2 linked regions of the Caenorhabditis elegans genome follow. The protein of the gene in region 2 interacts with the protein of the main gene of each other region in a pairwise test. Each region holds a gene or a part of one and is shown on either strand. Other genes may lie near its edges.

Region 1 (9,141 bases), 3.0 Mb from region 2:
AATTCAATTTCAAAAATTGACATCGGAAAGAGTTTTAGTTTAGTTTTTTGTTTTAAAAATACAAAAAAAAATTGAAAACTAACAAATTCGAACAGTTTGAAATTTTAGAAAACTAAATTTAAATCAAAACTATGTATTTCCGATTTTGTTTCAAAAATCAGTAACTCAAGAAATTATAGGTTTTTTAGTTTCGAAATATATTGAAATTGAAATTTTTCAAATAAAGTTCCCTCATCAATATAAACTTTTTCAGCTCAATATCTCGGCACTTCTCTCAGAAATGTTCACAATTGTGGCGGAGCACAAAGTGGAGCTCGACTCGGCTTTCACTACAGTAATCCTGTCTGTAATGGTTCTCGAAGGATTCGGCCGATCTCTGGATCCGGATCTTGATCTCTTCCAATGCGCTAGACCGTTTTTATTAAATGTTCTCGTATAGTGGACTTTTTTGCGAAAATCGTCCTTTTCAATTGTACAGTTTCAGAGTAGCTTTAAGATTTTATAGTTTTAGTATTTAGAGATCTTCTTTTTGTTTCATTGGGTTTTACGCATTTTTCAACTGTTGCTAATAAAAATGTTCAACAATATTTTCTGCTTTTCAACTTTTTAAATTTTTTTTCGGAATGCTGGTCTCACTGTCCAGTTCTATTACTTCTTTTTCTTAGCCAGTTTGATTTTTTTTCCAATTTTTTTTACTTAGATGCCTGCTGTGTGGTGCTCCTTGCATGATGTGTTGTGGTGTAATTTTGGTACGTTTTTAATGAAGAAAATGGCTATATTAAAGGCGCAGACACTTCTCTCAAAACTAAATCGGTGTCTACGTTTTGAATCTTTTTATTATTATCTTATTTGAGAATTGCTCGAATTTCAGTAAAATATCCAAATGTGTGCCTACCAAGTTCCACCACTGCGACCTGAAGGAGGTCCACGTGGCAAGGAGCCGCAGTCGTGGCTCGAGGATTATTTGGAAGGAAAGGACGAGATTCTGCTATACATAACTGCCGCTTTGGGAGTTCTGATGCCGGGATTTGTCTATCTGCTCTATCGCAAGTGCCATGCATATTATGAACGTTATTCAAAGGTTGGTAATAGTGGAAAACAAAATCAACAAAAATCTGGTCTCGCCACGACTTCCAATTTCTTTCAGAAAAAAGAAGAAGAACGACTTGCCGAGGAACTTGCCGAATCAGAAGCCGTCGTAATAGTTCTAGGAAAAGAAGACGGGCTCGCAGCTCCGTGGGCCAAGGTGATTCACGACAAGCTTTGTGATGAAATGGTCCGAAAACCGATGATTTGGTGGTCAGACTCTTTGGATGTGAAGGAGTTAATGGCCTTCAAGGGATTTTGTATTTTTATCTCTGAAACTACGGCTGGTGGTCAGCCGACACCCTCGACAGAATGGTTTTTGGAATGGCTTGAGGATCTCGCAGCGGACTCGAAGCTTAGAAAGAAGGCGAATTTCGAGAAAATCAGATTTTCAATTGTTGGCTTCGGAAGCAGTGATGATGGGCCAGCTGGGTTCAATAAAGTCGCCAGAACTTTGCTGAAACGAATGAAAATCTTGGGAGCTAGGCAAATTACTGAAGTCGAACTTTTCAATACAACTGACACTGGTATCATACCGTAATAATGATTATTGTTAAAATGTTGAGTTTCAGATAAGCAAACTATGGAGCGATTTGTGGAATTTTCGTTCGAACTCCTTTTGCAAATGGATAAGCATCTTCCTGGAATGAGTGGTGAAGACACCGAAGAATCGGAAGTTGGAGACGATAGATCTGAGAGCTCTTCGGATGATAATGAAGTCGAAGAGAAACATAAGAAGTCGAAATAAAATTTGAATATAAATATTTATATTTTAATAATTGTTTATATATCGAGCTTTAATTGAATTTTCCTGCATTTTAAAGATATTTTGTATATTTGTATTATTTTTTCAACATTTTTCATAAATAAATTCGCTTTTTTTAAAGAATATTGGTGACTGCCAAAATAATAAGAAAACATTAATTTTTGAGAAAGTAAATATTGATCCAAATTACCGTAGTGTAGTTTTAAAGGCGCATGTCATTTCCAGGACGGGTCTCGGCACGGGCTCTAAAGTTTAGCTGTTTCCGTTGCTTCTTGTAAATAATTGGAGTTTTTTTTTGCATATTTCGAAGCATTAAAAAATTAGAATGAGTTTGATCAGTGCTGAAAACTAGAAATCTACGAAAACCTTTTTGTAAAAGAACTCAAAAAAAAGTTTAGAAGCAAAATACCGTAACGAGTTGTTAAAGGCACATACCACTTCCACTTTGGGTCTCATCACGAATATCAATTGTGTCTTTTTCGTTTATCTTTTGTTAATTTTTAGCGAAGTTTTGTGGTTTTTCAGGTGTTTTCTTCATTTAAAACATTAAAATCCTCAATTTTCGATAACTTAAATTGAAAACTATTTAAAAATTATATGAAAAATTGCCTTCGAATCTTTTTTTCATGGAAAATTCGCGTAACTTCCCAAATTTTTTTCCGCCGATTTTTCCGCCATTTCTTCGAACACGTCTTGGAGCTTTACATCGGGAAACACAAAAAATCTGTTTTAACTTGAAAGCTCGTTGAAAATACTCAACAAATTTTTCAGAAACTCATATTTTAAACAAGGAAGTCATAATTTCACTACATTGGATCCAATTCATGCAGGAGTACTTTGACCTCTTCTGAGTCTCCGGTCAGCAAATGCGCTTCCCCGCACCAACACACATTCCAGCAGCACGAGTCGCCCTCTTGTCTCATAAGCTTTCTTGAGAAAACGGAGAAAACTTTGCGCTTTTGGTTTGTATGTGTGAGCAAAAGCTTTTTAATCAATATCCGCTTTATTCTCTCACAGTTCCGATTTTATTTGATTTTTTTCTGGAATTTCTTATATTCTCGGTTGAAAAAAATTTTAAAAACTAAAATTCAGCTTTAACAAAATGGAGGAAGATGACGTGGAATCGGCAACACCGGCGGAATCGCAAAAACTTTTGCAAAAAAGCGTTCGAAATTCGTTTGACGAGGTAATCTATTTCACGTGATCTATTCTATGAAAAAAGAAAAAAAACACAGTTTTTAGTTTTAATTTATTACATTTCAGAGAGATATGGTGATGGTGTTGGACAATGATGAATTAATTATGGAAAATCGGAATAGCAGTAATCTACAAAGCCCATTGCGGAGTGTTACTGTACGTTTTTTGTTGGGTTGAAAGAGATTAGCATATGATTATTGATTTTTGTTGTCGGTGAGTGGTGGCTGGAGCTAGAAGTTTTAAGAAATTCTCACTGTTTGGAGATGTTTTTTTGAAGAAAAAGTGTTTTCAAAGAAATGGTAATTTTCCACTATTTCAGATCTTCTATTTTCAAAAAAAAATTGAAATTTTTTCTCGGTATTTAAAGCTGTAGCTGTATAAAAATTTTAAAGTTTCTGAAGTTTAGGTTTTTTCAGATATACAAAAAAAAATTAACGGCATTATTTTTGAATTTCCTGCAAACCAATAAAAACAAATAGTGAGAATTTTTCTGAAACCTTTTCCTATTTTTTTAGTGGTCAGTTACCGCTAATTCTTATTTAATATTAAAAAAGCTAGAATATCATTCTTCAAGCTCCAGCCAGCCACTTCGTGTTTTCATATTTATCACTGCTTGCCCTCATATGACAAATGTTATTTTTACGGTGATCAGAAATCAAATTTTGAAAAATTGAAAAGTGCATTGCAGGATGTGCTCCGAGAGGCAGAAAATATTATCACTGACGGACCGCTGCAGTTGGCTGATACACAAGAGAATCAGAATGTGATTGTTGATCAAGTCGATGTTCAATTGTAAATAATCATCAGATTTTTTTTTCTTCCAAAAAAACATTGTTTCAGTCCGAATAGTCAGCCATCAGATGGTCAACGATTTGAGATTATTGTTCGTCATAGTAAGGTTGTTGAACAGCCTGCAAGTCAGCAAAGAGACGAATCAATGTATGTGACAAGGCAGAATAGGCTTCCAACTTTGCTTGAAGGTAAGGTTATTGAAAAAAATGATTTTTTTTTAAAGTGCGAAAAATACTTTAATATTTCGCATAACATGCTTTTTGTATTTGAACCGATTTTTGATATTCATTTCATAGTTCATTCCCACAAATTCTTCTTGAGAAGTATTAAAATTCGTCCATAAAAATGGAATTTTTGAAGAAATGTTTCTAATTAAAAAATTCACACATTTACATTATTTATGATGTTCCAAATAAAAATCTAAACCAATTTTTTCAAAAATTATCGATTTATCCAATTTAATTCCCATAAAGGTTAGAGTTCAAGAAAAAAAGGCTTTTAAATGTAAAAAAATCGATTTTTAAAAATGTTCAATAAAAACAAAACAAAATATTTCTTTTGAGCTTTTGATATTAAAGCAAAACCAAACAAAAAATAAGAGTTTTGCGCAATTTATGAGAACATTTTCAAAAAAAAATTTTTTTTTACTATTTGTTTACAGTGTAACGAAATAAACCAAAAATCGCATCATTTACACCGATCTCTCGTTTAATAAATTAGTGAATTAAAAGTTAAATTTCCAACCAAAAAAAAACTTGTTGACCGTCACCTCAAATTAATTTTAGGTGACAGGAAGTGTTCTCATTCGTTTTTTTCAAAAATACTTCCCTCCTTTCACTAAACTACACTATTACTAAATGATTTCTATAGGAATCGAAATTGACAATGGAGATGTCCCATCAACGTCTAAAGCAGCCGCATTACCATTCAAAAAAGGACATCGTCGAGCATGGAGTATGCCGAATGCAAAAGGAGAAAAGATGACAGTTGCAGTTATTCATGATAATCATGAAGAAGGTGGAAATCAGCATCGTCGACGAATTGTCAAATACAAATTACATCCACAACGTCGGGGACACGAAGATGGAAAACATTTGAGATTTGTTACTGCTGGACATGATGCGGAGATTCATTTGGATCATAGTGATGATGATGATGAGCTTGAAGTTGAGATTAATGAAGAAGAAGTTATTATTCCTAGCGAAACTGGAGAAGGACCAAGAGCTGTTATCAAGAGGGTGAGGGAAAACTCCAGTGAGATAATTGCAAAATTGCAACAAAAAAAAGCAAAAAATGCAGCGATAAATGTTAATTGGCGGCAATTTTGCTTTAAACAAATTATGTAGAGAAAAACATTTCTAATAAGTTTTGAAAATTCACGAATCTCCGAAAATGTTTGATTTGGTTTTTCTTTCTATTAAAAGTTTTCTGATTACATTCAAAATTTTCTTTGTACTAGGAGCCAAAAAATTTTGCACACATGTGAGCTATTGATAAGAAAATTTTCAAAAATATACATTTTTGATAAGTTTCTACATATTTTTTGCAAGACAATTACTTGAAATTATGAGAAATCTTAAAGAATAATTTTTTGGTTAAAAAAAACGATTAAAGTTAAAAAAAAAATATTACAAAATTATTTTCAGTTCTGGGAAGCCCGCTGGAAGGCAACAAATTTCGAAACTCTACCCGAATGGCTTCAAGATAACGAATACCTCCGTACAGGACATCGTCCTCCACTTCCATCGTTCAGTAGCTGCTTCAAGAGTATTTTTGCATTGCACACTGAAACAGGAAACATTTGGACTCATATGTATGGATGTGTTGCGTTCTTCGGTATCGGAATATGGTTTCTGACTCGTCCCCATGATCAAATGCAATGGGTGGAGAAATTGATCTACTCGGCGTTTTTCCTCGGTGCAGTGATATGTCTTGGAATGTCATTCCTTTTTCATACGGTTGCATGCCATTCTATTGAAATGGCTAAACTGTTCAGTAAACTCGATTACACTGGGATTTCCTTACTCATCGTTGGATCATTTGTTCCGTGGATCTATTTTGCATTCTACTGTAGACCTCAACCAATGATAATATACAACGGAATGATTATTATACTTGGAATCGCTGCAATGGTCGTCTCGCTTTGGGATAAATTCGCGGAGCCCAAATTCCGGCCTGTACGAGCAGCAGTTTTCATAGCAATGGGCCTATCGGCTGTGGTCCCAGCATTTCATTTACTTGTAGTTGACGGTGTTCATTATATGGTTGAGGAGTCACAAGTTCATTTGATGATTATGATGGGAGCCATGTATATTGGTGGTGCAACACTCTATGCGACACGTGTACCTGAGAGATGTTTCCCTGGAAAGTGCGATATTTGGGTATGTGGTTTCAAAAAAACTAGCAATTGGAGAAAAATATAAAAATATATATTTTCAATTCTCGGTTTTCCGGAAAACCAGACAACATAACTTTAAAGATTTTAAACCACATTTTGCAAAAGAAAATTTACGAAAATACGAAAAAGACTCAAAAAATAAAAGCTAAACAATCTTTTTTACTCAAAAAAAAACTAATAACGTTTATTTTTTCAGTTCCAATCGCATCAACTCTTTCACACATTTGTCGTGCTCGCCGCTTTTGTTCATTATCACGCGATCTCCCAAATGGGAATGCATAAGCTCATGAAAGGATCCTGCCCGGATCAACTGAAAACTCGTTACGGTAACGAGTTGAATCCTTCCTTCGTTGGCACTTTGCTTGGGCTCGACGAGCCACTCAATGTCAGAGACTGGACACCGGCGGATGTTGGTTTATGAGGTAGATTTGTTTCCAATTTTTTATTTTTAAAAAATTTATAATTTTCAGAAACCTCTGCACAATATGTATAGTTGCGTATATATGCTCTTCTTGAAGCTGCTACAACCCTCTTCATACTATCCTTTTTCTGCTCATTTTCACCATTTTTTTTTCCATTTTCTTTCAAATTACCTGGTTCCCCTTCCCCACGCTCCTCAACTATCTGTCGAAACATTCTCAGCTAAAATTCCAATGTGATAAATTCTATACACTCCTTTTTTCATTTTATTCCCCCTTTTCGTTCCGTTTTCTTCCATTGAAATTAGTTTTCTTATTATTCTTTTCTTGTTTTCGCGTTCTCCTTCATTTTCTCGGAACCAGATTTGGTTTTTTTAAACTTTAACATTGAACTTTTCGAGCTTTGTTTTTTTTTTCTTTTTCGTATTTTATGAATTTCATTTTACTGTGTAGCCCATTATTCTATTTTCGTGTGAGTGTAGTCGTCTAGGCGATTTAAAATAAAATTTTCGATTTTTTTTTGTGATTTTTCGAACAATTCATGAAGTCGGCATAATTACCAAGCGCTAGTGTCTGTAAAATAGCGGAAATTTAAGAGTTTTAGCGAAACATTCACGAAATCACATATCTTGCAATTTCTCATCAGTTTTCTACAGAAAAAACTCGTAGTTCCACACCATGCAGGTGAAAATCTAGCAAAATCACCCTTTTTCTTCATTTTACTTGAAATTTGATCAGATTTTTGGTTTTTCAATGTTCTCAGGCGATCAGGAAGTGCTGAAATCTGAAATTGGTTTGAAGTCGATAATTTAAGGAATTTTATTAAACAATCTCGAGTACAGTAACTTGAAAGGCGCATCTACGAAAATAGGGATTAAATATTGTATCTCTGCGAGACCCACGCATACTATAGTAGAATGTCCCTTTAAATGGAGTACGGTACCAAAAGTAGACAAATTTTCAGATTTGTTTGTTTATTTTAGAATTTTTTGTTTTCAGCCCCAAAAAATTATTCCAGTGCCAGAGTTGTGTGTCACGCAGAGTCTCCGTTCTCTTCGTACACTTGTATGCATGTCTGCACCCTCTGCGGCTAGTTTGTTCTCTCACATTGTTCACTTGTTGCTCCTCAGTTTTTTATTCTATTTTTCTTTCTTTTTTCTTTCGGGTCGCCGCATTCTAACAATTTCTTGTCTCTGCTCTGATAAAAACAACAAAATTTTCGATTTATTAGCTCCAACTTTCCTCCCATTCTCCTGAAAATTTCCTGAATCAAAATGAAAAATAATATTTTGTTATTATCAAAATATATAAACTGTCATGTGAAACGTGGGTTATTTTTTATTTTGTTTTTTATTTAAGCTCCTCCCATTTTTTAATAAACTAATAAATGAAAATTTCAACGAAAGGTCAGGAATGGGAGGAGCTTAAATAAAAAACAAAATAAAAAATAAGCCACGTTTCACATGCCAGTTTATATATTTTGATAATATTTTTCTTCCTTCAAAAGGATTAAGCATTAATCATTAGAATCTTTTCGCGATTTTCCGGATTTTGCTTCAAAATAACCGACAAAAATCTTTCACAATTTCTAAAGAACTTGGAAATTGGGGAAAACCGTCAGTTTTGGAAGGCCTTTGTGAATTTTGAATATTGAATAAAATAACTGTTTCAGCATTTTATTTTAAGAAAACACTTAAAAAACAAAATGTTTAATTGTTTCCTTCAGCGGTCAAGTTTTCTCTAAATTGCCCAGTAATATTCAGAAAAATTCTCGATGTTTTGTTCAAAATTACCATGGCACTAAAAATAGTCTGTCCAATTTATTTTGTGTGTTATTTCGTCTTCTGACCGAATGGCGCAGATCTCTATTTCCGGAATCAGCTGCCTCAATTTTCGGCACCCCACAGTTATACATTATTTTGTTCAAATGATACATTTTGCGATTTATGATGCATTTTTTAATCGCAAAAAAGCAAAATAAAAGTGTGCGCCTTTAAAAGTAATTTGTCCTCCTCGCTGTTTTGTTTTTTTTTTAATTTAAAATCAAAATTTTTTTTCTACAGTTTACTGCACAAATCTCATTTTGATTTTTAAAGCAAAACAAGAAAAATTGAAAGAAATTGCAAAACTACTGTACTTTTCAAAGGAGCAATATCTTTTTCGCATCACTCGACTCGAGACCGAATACCGTAAATCAGCCTCGTGAAATTCACATCTGTGTGAAATCATATTTTCAGTGAAACACGCGCAGTGGAAACCTTTTGTGATGTCGGGGGATTGTGTTTTTGCGAGACTATGTCGAATGTAGACCGAGTGAAATTGATTGAGTGAACACACAGACACAGAGATACACACTAATTCGATGTTCTTTTTCTTTTCGTGAAGCCCATTTCAAAGAACATTCTCGCAGCATTTTCTAGTTATTCCTTATACAATTTTCGGATTTATCCGTTGAAGGTGGTCGTTTTTTGGTATTGAAACGT
Region 2 (9,245 bases):
TTTACTGATTGGGGATTAAATTGAATTTTGAAGTATTAACAGAAAACTAGAATAATATTTGCAAGGAATGTCAAATTGCAACTCAATGTCCAAATCCGAATCCAGTTCCACGTCCCATATGAGTTGTTTCTCTAGCAATTGCATATTGTTTCTCGAGATCGTTTAGCATTTTATCTTGGCGATTCTTTTCATCTGACAATCTCGACGAATCATCCTATAAATGTTAAATAATTCAATTTATATGGTAAAATAAGATATTTCTCACCGTTGGTTTCGGTGCATTCTTGACGCCCATCAAACGCATGAATTTGTTGGCTTTTGATGAATCGACCCCAGTTGCTGCGATGGCTGATGACCATAATTTTTCGTTTTTTCCTCCAGTTGCAGGTTCAGAAGATGACGAGGCGGTGTCAGTGGTGTTCTGAAAAAAAAAAGGTTTTAATGTGCAGAAAATAACGCAGTTGTACCGAGGAAGATGATTCTCCAGCCACTTTTTTGTTTCCCCAGAGAGCTTTTCGTTGAGCAGCAATCTCTTCAGCAGAGAGACGATTTCTGTAATTTCAATTTTTAATTTAAAACAGATTTACATCAACCATATTTACTTGTCATCTCTTCTTTGAAAGTCGTTTCTCCGATCATTCCGATCGTTTCGATCCGTTTTCCAGCTACCGTCGCCTCTTCTATCATCTCGCCGATCATTTCTTCCGTAATCACGTCTTCTCTCTTGATCGCGATCGTCGTGACGTCTCGATTCATTCTGAAAAAGAGGTTTAGAAGAATTTAAAGCTAAAATTTAGCTTTAAAAACTAGATATGCCACTAGATGAATTTGGGTGAAAACCTGAAAATTTAAATTTTTCTCGAGTTTCTCCAGTACTTTTCTCACCTTTCTACCAATGTGGTGTGCACCTTGTTTCAGACTCCGGATCACATCGGCAAACAAAACTAAATTCGTTAAGATATTAGTTTCAGTTTGCAACGATTTCAAGTCATTTATTGTTTTAATTTCAGTTTACACTTTCTAATTTGAACAAACTATTTTTTGAAACGATTTAAATTATCTAGTGAGTCTTATTGTTTCATTATATACCTTTTCTGGATGACGGTCTCGTTTAGGAGATCTCTCGCGTTCCTTGTGTGGAGAACGACTTCTGTCTCGTTTTTCCTTCTTCTTCTCCTTTTTCTCGTCTTTTTGGCGTTTTGCTACACTGCTGGAAAATGATTTTTTCGTTAACTTCGAAAGAAACAACGTACGTCTCAGTCTCTCCTTCGTCGTCACTGCTGCCGAATTTCGTATGTTTTCCCATTCTGAAAATCAATAATTTAGTGTTTTAAGGAAAACCACATCGTTACGGAGAACTGAGGGACGGGCAGGCTACAAAGACATGAAATATTTAATTTTTTTCAGTTTACTTTTTAGAATTTTATATAATACTTCTATAAGAGAAGGAATCTCCAGATCAGAAGCTGTAAAAAAAAGTTCTCTCAAATGTGTCGTGAGATTGTGTGTTTTGTCCGTAAGTGGTGTTTGCGTACATTTGTCAACCGTACCCTGGTCACATTTTTTTTCGATTCAACAAAACGTTTTTCCAATCTTTTTTACCTCGTTTCATTCATAAAAAATTCAATAATAAATGCAGATGCTTCGTCTCTACGCAAGTAATTGTGCCGGTAAGATAAAAGCAGCTGTCGAAACGGCTTCACGGTTACAATCGACAGCATCAGGAGCCGCTGGACATAAATTTCAGAGTTCGTTTATTTTGTTCATTTGCTAACATGTAATAACTTTTAATAATTCAGCGAAAGAAGATAAAAAAGAGGGAACAACGTATATTTCAATGGAAAAGGTGACGGACTCGCGTGGAGCACGAAAAGATGACGAGTTGTGCTCGCTGTGCACATGCAACGTGCCAATTAAGCTCACTTATAAGTAAGTTGTTTGAAAAATTACTTGTTTTTTCTTTCCGCAATTTGAAAAATGTTATTTTAATCGTTTCAGAGATGTTCTGATCTTGGAACAATTCATGAGAGACGATGGAACTGTTCTTCCACGTCAACTCACCGGGCTTTGTAAGAAACAACAATTGAGAATGGAAAGGTAATTAAAAGAAACTAACTGTTGCTTACATGCAAATAATTATTTGAAGATGTGTAATGCAAGCATTCTGGTCTGGACTTTTCGGTGATAAATATGGCACAGAAGCGGATAGAGCAGGTTATAAACGATTCAATCGATACTGGAAAGATGATATGTCAATGTATCAATTGGAGACGAAACAACGACATGGAACATGGTTTTATATTAAAAGGTTTTGCACTGAAAAATTTAATATTCAAATTATTTTTTGGTTTTCAGATATCCTACGAAGAATCAACAACTCTTCAAGAATCCACTCAATTGAAATTGTTAGATTTTATTTAGATATTATCCTTTTTTAGCTCAATATTATTCTGTTGTTTTGTTTGTTTCTAAAGAATTTTTCCGATCCTCGAACTTTCCATCGTTGTTTCGAAATGTTTTAAAACATTTTCAATATCTCTTATCTGTTGTTATTTCCGCTTTATTGCAATTCATTTTTCCAGGAACATCGCAGATGTCTTGATACAAAGAAAAGAAGAAATGCGAAAATTTGTATTTTTCGTCGTAGCTATTCTTATTCAAATTCACACGACAACATCACAAAGAAATAGAAGTTCATCGCCATCTGGATTTTTGGATCTTCAACTTGAAAAATGTCCTCAAGTTCTCGGATGTCGTTGTGTTCGGGATTCTACAAGAAATATTCAGTGCTTTTCTATTGGTAAGAAATTAATTTTTTAAACAAATGTTTGATGTTACTTTTCAAAAGGTACTTTATTAGAAAGGGTCAAGCTGAAACGCTCCAAAATTTTTTTTTAAAGTTTAGGATAGAACCTATTTTCAGCTAGAATTTTAAATTTTCCCCAGTTCATCAGTGTATAAAAGATTAAAATAAAACTTTTCTAAAAGTGGATAAGGAAAAACACAAAAAACGTGTTCGAGAAAATCGAAAAACTGACATCCTCGGCCCCCTATTCAAATAAAAACTATTTCATTATTTACAGACGAATCAAAACTTCTTGAAATTCAAAAAATCTACGGATCAAATATTCAACGTTTGGAACTTCACAATTGGCAACATGATCAGCTTAATTTCGATATTTTCGCACCATTTCCGCAACTAGAACATATAATTCTCCGAGGTAAATCGAGAATTGCTTCTTTAAAAGTATCAAAATTTTGATTTTCAGATGGTGATTTGGAATCTCTGAATGGAACTGTAATCCATCCAACTCTCAAAGTGCTTTCTATCGAAAATTCAGAGCTGACATCGAGCTCAGAAGTTTGTCGCCTTTTGAGCATTTTCCCGAAGATTCAAAGTCTATCCCTATCGAAGAATTATTTTGAGAAATTTGAATGCGACACGAGTAATACCAAATTAAAAATTCTAGATTTGAGTCAGAATAGAGTATGTCAATTATGCAATAAAAAACAATTCAAAGAAATAATTCTAGATTTCCCACCTGGAAGTGCCAAATACCCTCAGAGTTTTGAATGTTTCACGCAATAGACTGACTTCTTTTGAAAATATTTCGACGAAGCTGACAGATTTAGGTTTGTTCGAGAAAAAAGAATAATCGCAGTTAACAATTATTTTTACAGATATTTCCTTCAATAAACTATCCTTATGGCCATCTTTCGACGATTGGAAGTTCCCGAATCTTCGTAGTTTGTCGGCAATCAAATTGGATTTGCAAACGGGATTTCAATTAGATGCTCCACTTTTAAATTCTCTTAATATTGACGGCGCATCACTAAGATACTTGAATTTTCATCAAATCCTTACGCCGAAACTCAAAAAGTTTGTGATTTTTCATTATTTGGATATTATTAATTTTTCCAAAAATTCAGGTTCTCTGCTCGATATCTAACGGAGCTTCGAAATATTGCCGGTCGTTTACCTTCTACAGTAACGGATGTGGCTTTCACTGATACAATGCTGAGAACTCTTCCAGCTGATTTTATTCCAATGTAAGACATATTTTTCGAAATTTCATAATATATTCGGGATTTTTAGGTCATCTACCAACCATATGCAAAAGGTTTCATTCGATTTCTCTACGAATCAGCTTCTTTGTGATAAATGTTTATTGCAATGGTCTCTACCAGTTTATGCACAGACAAGTATTCGAAAAGATTGCAATTTGACACGGTAAATTATCATCTGGTCGCGAAAATTTTCGGTTTTGCCGGCGAAAATACAGGTCTCGAAAAGAAAAGAGTACTGTACTTTCAAACTTTTGTTCCTGCAGAATTTTCATCGATTTTTCATAATTCTTCGCGATAATATTTATTTAAATACATGAATTTTAACAAATAATGTGAAAAACTACTGAAAAATCTATAAAACATCTATAAAAAACAAAATTTTGGCTGTACAATAATCTTTAAAGGCGCACACATTTTAGCATTAACATAAAACATTGTCGTGCCGAGGCCGGTTATTCTGGCGCAAAATATGGTGTTTGGGTAATTTTTTTTAAATCAAAATGTTTCAATTTTCAGAGAAGAAATTGAATCGGCATCTTGTAAGATTGGTGTTGTTGCTAATGATACTGGAATTCAATATGGAAAATATGAGAAACCAACAGCAATTTCTTGTTTCTCCTACGGAGTTCCATCTCCAAAAATCAGTTGGTGGAGATTTAGACCAGCAGAGAAGCTTGGATCCTATGATCCAATCACAGATGAAATCAGTTATACAAATGTTTCGGAAACGATGAAAGAAAGGTATTTTATATCAAAAATAGACTTAAATAACAGATAATTACATTTTCAGCTATGAAATTCAATCTGGCGGGTCTCTTCTAATTCGATCACCCAACCGATCACATGTTGAACGATATGTTTGTGTCGTGGAAAATGAATATGGAAAAGATTATGGAATTTATCATTTTAGGTACTTCAAATAATTAGTAAAAGAAGGAGAAATTATATCTTCAACCAAACTTTTTAAAATTTCTCAAAATACATATGATTACGGCGGTCTAAAATTTCTCCCCTAAAATATCCAGAAATGAAATAAAAACTAATCGAGACGGAAATTTAACAATTTTGGAGACTTTCAACTTTTTCTAAAATTGTCATTATTAGTCTTAAAAAAATCGGTTTTCCACCTACCATAAATTTCAATAATCGAAGGTAATAACTAAAGTTTTTAGACTCGATTATCTCGATTGGTACAGCTATGATGTGTTCAATTCAGTATTTTGGGGAGGTCTCGCCACTTCATTAATCGTTTGTCTCATATCATTCTTGCTCAATATTACATGGATTCTCACCCGAAAAAGTGCTCTTTGGTGGATTCAAAGGTACCAGATTAATTAAATTAATAAATTAATTAAATCTATGATTTTTCTAGAGCCGAACGCCTGTCACGTGTCCGAAAAATGGTTGAAGCAATGGAAAAATATCGTGTTCGTCAAATGGAGTCACTTCATGAAAAATACACGAAACGCGTTCAAATTGTTCGTGATAATTATCATCAACAAGTTGAAGCACTTCGTGTATCGTATGCATCACAACAAGAGAAATTTCAAAATTATAAAGCAGCTCAAGTGGATGCTGTACATTCACATTTGGATGCAATGAGAGATGGATATAATAATCAATTGGGTAGAGTCAGAGAATATGGATCAAAACGTGCAGAACAATTATGGGAGAGCTATGAGCGACAGGTAAAATGGGGTTTTTTTTTCAAAAAGAAAATTTATGCAAATTTCTAAATGAAAAATGTGCAGAAAAGGTTTTTGAAATCTCTGAAAAATTGGCAAAAAATTTCAAAATTTAAAAATAATTTCCAATAAAAATCGAAAATGTCCTATGTGTAAAAATCTTAATCAAAAAGAAAAATTAAAGAACGAGAATCTAAAAATCGATTTAAAAAAAAAATTACAATCAAATTCGAATTTTGTTTATCATAATAAGATGAGTTTTAAATAGTTTGGTTATTCTCTTCAAAAGTTGAAAATAATATGACCAAACTTTGGAAAAAAAGAAAAAATACATTTTTATAAATTTTTTCCAGGTGAATCGCATGCGAACCTTCAGTCTACAACATCGTCTAAAAATGATGCGCCAGTACAAAGTGAAGCAACGTTATGTTAATAAATTACTCGAATCACTGCAAGCAACATCACCAGAAGTTCAATTGGAGAATGTTAGTTTCTGGAAAACTAGATTAATTGATTTTTTTGAAATTTCAGGAAGAAAAAGTACGTGCTGCTCTAGAGATTCCTGATGATTTGGCAACTATTGATGGTTCAATGGACACTCCTTCTCGCCTCTCGCGTAGTTCATCATTCCATAGTCTTCCTGAATATGTTATTGATGAACAAGGAAACGTACGACCGGGAATTATTCCAACAAATGCGCCTTCCATTAGGTTAATGTCTCACTGTCAGTGATGAAAAACATTTCTCATCTATACTTTCAGATTCACTACCAAACCAACAACATCTTCAATATCAAACGAGGCAAGTACCTCTTCTCCGAGCTCATCAGGAGCTCATCGATCGCCAGATTCTCCACCAGAAAAGAGATAATTCTTTAAATCATTTTGTTTGTTTGTCTATAACCATTCCAAAATCGGTGCCATCATCATCCGACCTATCATTTCTTTTTGCAATTAGTCCTAAAACACTTACTTACCATCTTCAGGAATAATGTTCTCAACTAGAGCTTTGTTTTTTTCTTTTCGAGAGTGTCTTTAATATATCTTTCCAATTCAATTGTTTCATGCCAGGAAATCCATGCAAACTTCTCCCCCAATTCCCACTTTTTGTTCCAAATTTCATGTGTTCATTTATTTATTTTCATTTAATTCAAGTTTTACTGTACGCATATTCAGAGATTAAATTTTTGATTGTATTCTTTTTTCTGGCGACGATTTCTGCATCAAACATACTCGATTGTGGCATGAATGAAATTCCGGACAAGTGAGGTCATCGACACATTTGAAGACATGCTCATTCTGATAGAAACAATGTCGATTCACACATTTATGATTGCTATCACAGTTCCGATCGGTCAAGCATTGTCCACGTGTGGATGCTGATGATATCAGCGGAACGAGGAGAAGAAGCTGAAAACTTCAAAATAATAAGAAATTTGTTATCATACCTCTCACTCACCAAAAATAGAATTTTGAGGAATTGAGTCATAGAATTGAAAAGTGCCAGATAATCAATATCACCTGACGAGAGCTCTTATCAGTTGATCGACACTTTAGAAAAAAAGAAAAAAATATATTACAACAATAGAGACATTTTTCCGAATGAGAGATTCTCTCGGTGAGAAATTTGATGAATTTAAAAATTGTGTTAGCTCAATTTTAAAATCTCCCCAAAAATTTAAGAATCAAATTTGCTACTTGATCTTGAAGCGAACGAAATAATCCAGCTACAGTACTCAAGAGTACGATATTTCGCAATTCGGCCTCTGAAGACTACTGTAGCCACACGTTTTTTCATGAACTTATGAGTTCTTATTGTTTTTATATCAGTTTTTCGATGAATCATCATATTTTTATGACAAAATATGAAAAAAATGTTATCTATAAAAATTCCAACGTACAAAAGTTTGGGATTACAGTAGTCTTTGAGGCGCACAAAATTTTGCACTTAAGAAAAATTGTCGTTTCGAGGCCGGTGCCGTATTTTCGGCATAAAAATCGCTAAATTTTTGCGTCTGGGTGATATAGAAAAGAAAAAGCAATTTCCGCGGGTACTGTAAGTGAAACTTTTTATTCGTTTCAGGACGTCAGGTCTCTACTTTAATTAACTGAAACTTTGAAATTTGAAGTACACCTTGGCGTCTTACGGTAACCTTATTAGTTGAAACATAATTGTTGAAAGATTTATTATGCACAAGAATTATGAAAAAAAAAGAAGAAACAAGAAAATAATTCACCATCGAAATGGGATACACATATTGATAATACACTGATTTCCAGAAGGACAATCCAATTGACTGTCACACCTTCGGAATAAATACGGGAATAGCTGGAAACGTTTCGCATTTAAACATTTTCCATCGTAACAAGCGGTTTCCGATGAGCAGTCCGTGTCAATAGAGCATCTTTGGATTAATGGAAGATATGGAATATTATCCGGAGTAGTTGGGATTTCATCGAATTCTTTGGATTTTTGTAGAACTGCTTCTAGTGGTAGCTTATCATCAATTTCTTCTTTTGGAGACTCTTCGGATGATGGAATGTGAATTTCCGATTCAGTTTCATTATGTGATTCTTCAGAGGAAGTTATGTTGACTTCAGTTTCAGCAAGAGAAAATGTGAAGAACACTACGAGAAGTAACTGCAATTATGTTTCGAAATTATTATTATCGAACATTTTAGAACTCGTATTTAAAGGCGCATGGATTTATTCAGATGGGTCTCACCAGGAGAAAATTTGAATGGTTTGTAACGATTTTGTAACGATTATCAGCTTTTTGAAAATTCGATACTGTAAACTTTTTCGCGAAAACCATCAAAACTACAAATAAGCTTCATGAACTTGTTTCAAAACTCTCAAGTAGACGTTTCAGAAAAGTGGAAACTTTAATTTAATTTTGGAAAATTGATAAGTTAGGCACCACAGTAAAATTTTTAAACTTACCCATAATGCATTCATGGCTTCTAGACCAACAAAGTATTGTCTTTTTGGTAGATTCGAGAAAAGTTGAAAATTGGAAAACCCGGGAAAAAACAGAAAAGAAATGATGCGTGTCAGAGGGCGGAGAACAGGAATGAATAGACAGGCAACTGAAGAGAGAAAAAAACGATAAATTTTGTTATCGCTTGGAGAATATTTTTAAGAGAGCGTGCTGTTCTTTCAGGAGTCAGTTTCAAAAAAATGTGGGAAAACATGTGATAAAATGGTTTAAAAGATTCTCGATGCTTCTAACCGGGTGATTCAACAGTTCTATTGGAAGAAATAAAGAAGAATTAAATGGAGGATGAACATTTATTCAGTATACTTTTTTACGTAGACATTTTTTAGAAGTACAATAAAAAAGGGTTTGATTGTGATGAATTTTTTGATTATTTGTCAATTATTTCAAGATGACTCTTAAATGTGCAATGGTCCGACAGCTTCCTCATTTTCTGTTCTTTTTTGTTGTTCTTCTCTCAGGGTGTCAGCGAAGATTTTCATCTTCTTCTCCTC

What was found.
Region 1: the proteins of iglr-2 (region 2) and paqr-2 interact in a protein complementation assay, tested with the Caenorhabditis elegans proteins (one study listed by BioGRID).

The regions. Positions count from the first base shown.
Region 1 is NC_003281.10:5,373,733-5,382,873, reverse strand, and holds paqr-2 (Adiponectin receptor protein), read left to right. Parts: upstream 1-2,944; 5' UTR 2,945-2,954; coding exon 2,955-3,038; intron 3,039-3,115; coding exon 3,116-3,205; intron 3,206-3,737; coding exon 3,738-3,841; intron 3,842-3,889; coding exon 3,890-4,029; intron 4,030-4,711; coding exon 4,712-5,079; intron 5,080-5,487; coding exon 5,488-6,222; intron 6,223-6,435; coding exon 6,436-6,660; 3' UTR 6,661-6,661; intron 6,662-6,709; 3' UTR 6,710-7,175; downstream 7,176-9,141. Other genes in the region: Y32H12A.7 (ABC1 atypical kinase-like domain-containing protein), read left to right, coding at 254-439; Y32H12A.6 (Flavodoxin-like domain-containing protein), read left to right, coding at 884-1,081, 1,148-1,613, 1,659-1,834.
Region 2 is NC_003281.10:8,324,285-8,333,529, reverse strand, and holds iglr-2 (Immunoglobulin domain and leucine-rich repeat-containing protein 2), read left to right. Parts: upstream 1-2,582; 5' UTR 2,583-2,619; coding exon 2,620-2,800; intron 2,801-3,083; coding exon 3,084-3,221; intron 3,222-3,269; coding exon 3,270-3,487; intron 3,488-3,533; coding exon 3,534-3,633; intron 3,634-3,681; coding exon 3,682-3,880; intron 3,881-3,930; coding exon 3,931-4,050; intron 4,051-4,096; coding exon 4,097-4,231; intron 4,232-4,584; coding exon 4,585-4,809; intron 4,810-4,858; coding exon 4,859-4,978; intron 4,979-5,240; coding exon 5,241-5,390; intron 5,391-5,440; coding exon 5,441-5,756; intron 5,757-6,106; coding exon 6,107-6,238; intron 6,239-6,284; coding exon 6,285-6,463; intron 6,464-6,514; coding exon 6,515-6,623; 3' UTR 6,624-6,931; downstream 6,932-9,245. Other genes in the region: ZC262.2 (small acidic/RSRC2 family protein), read right to left, coding at 83-214, 266-421, 468-552, 603-757, 1,090-1,210, 1,254-1,306; mrps-18A (28S ribosomal protein S18a, mitochondrial), read left to right, coding at 1,634-1,748, 1,800-1,929, 1,999-2,097, 2,147-2,308, 2,356-2,401; ZC262.13 (FIP (Fungus-Induced Protein) Related), read right to left, coding at 6,932-7,162, 7,212-7,241; F10E9.12 (DUF7107 domain-containing protein), read right to left, coding at 7,986-8,393, 8,697-8,711; F10E9.1 (uncharacterized protein), read right to left, coding at 9,150-9,245.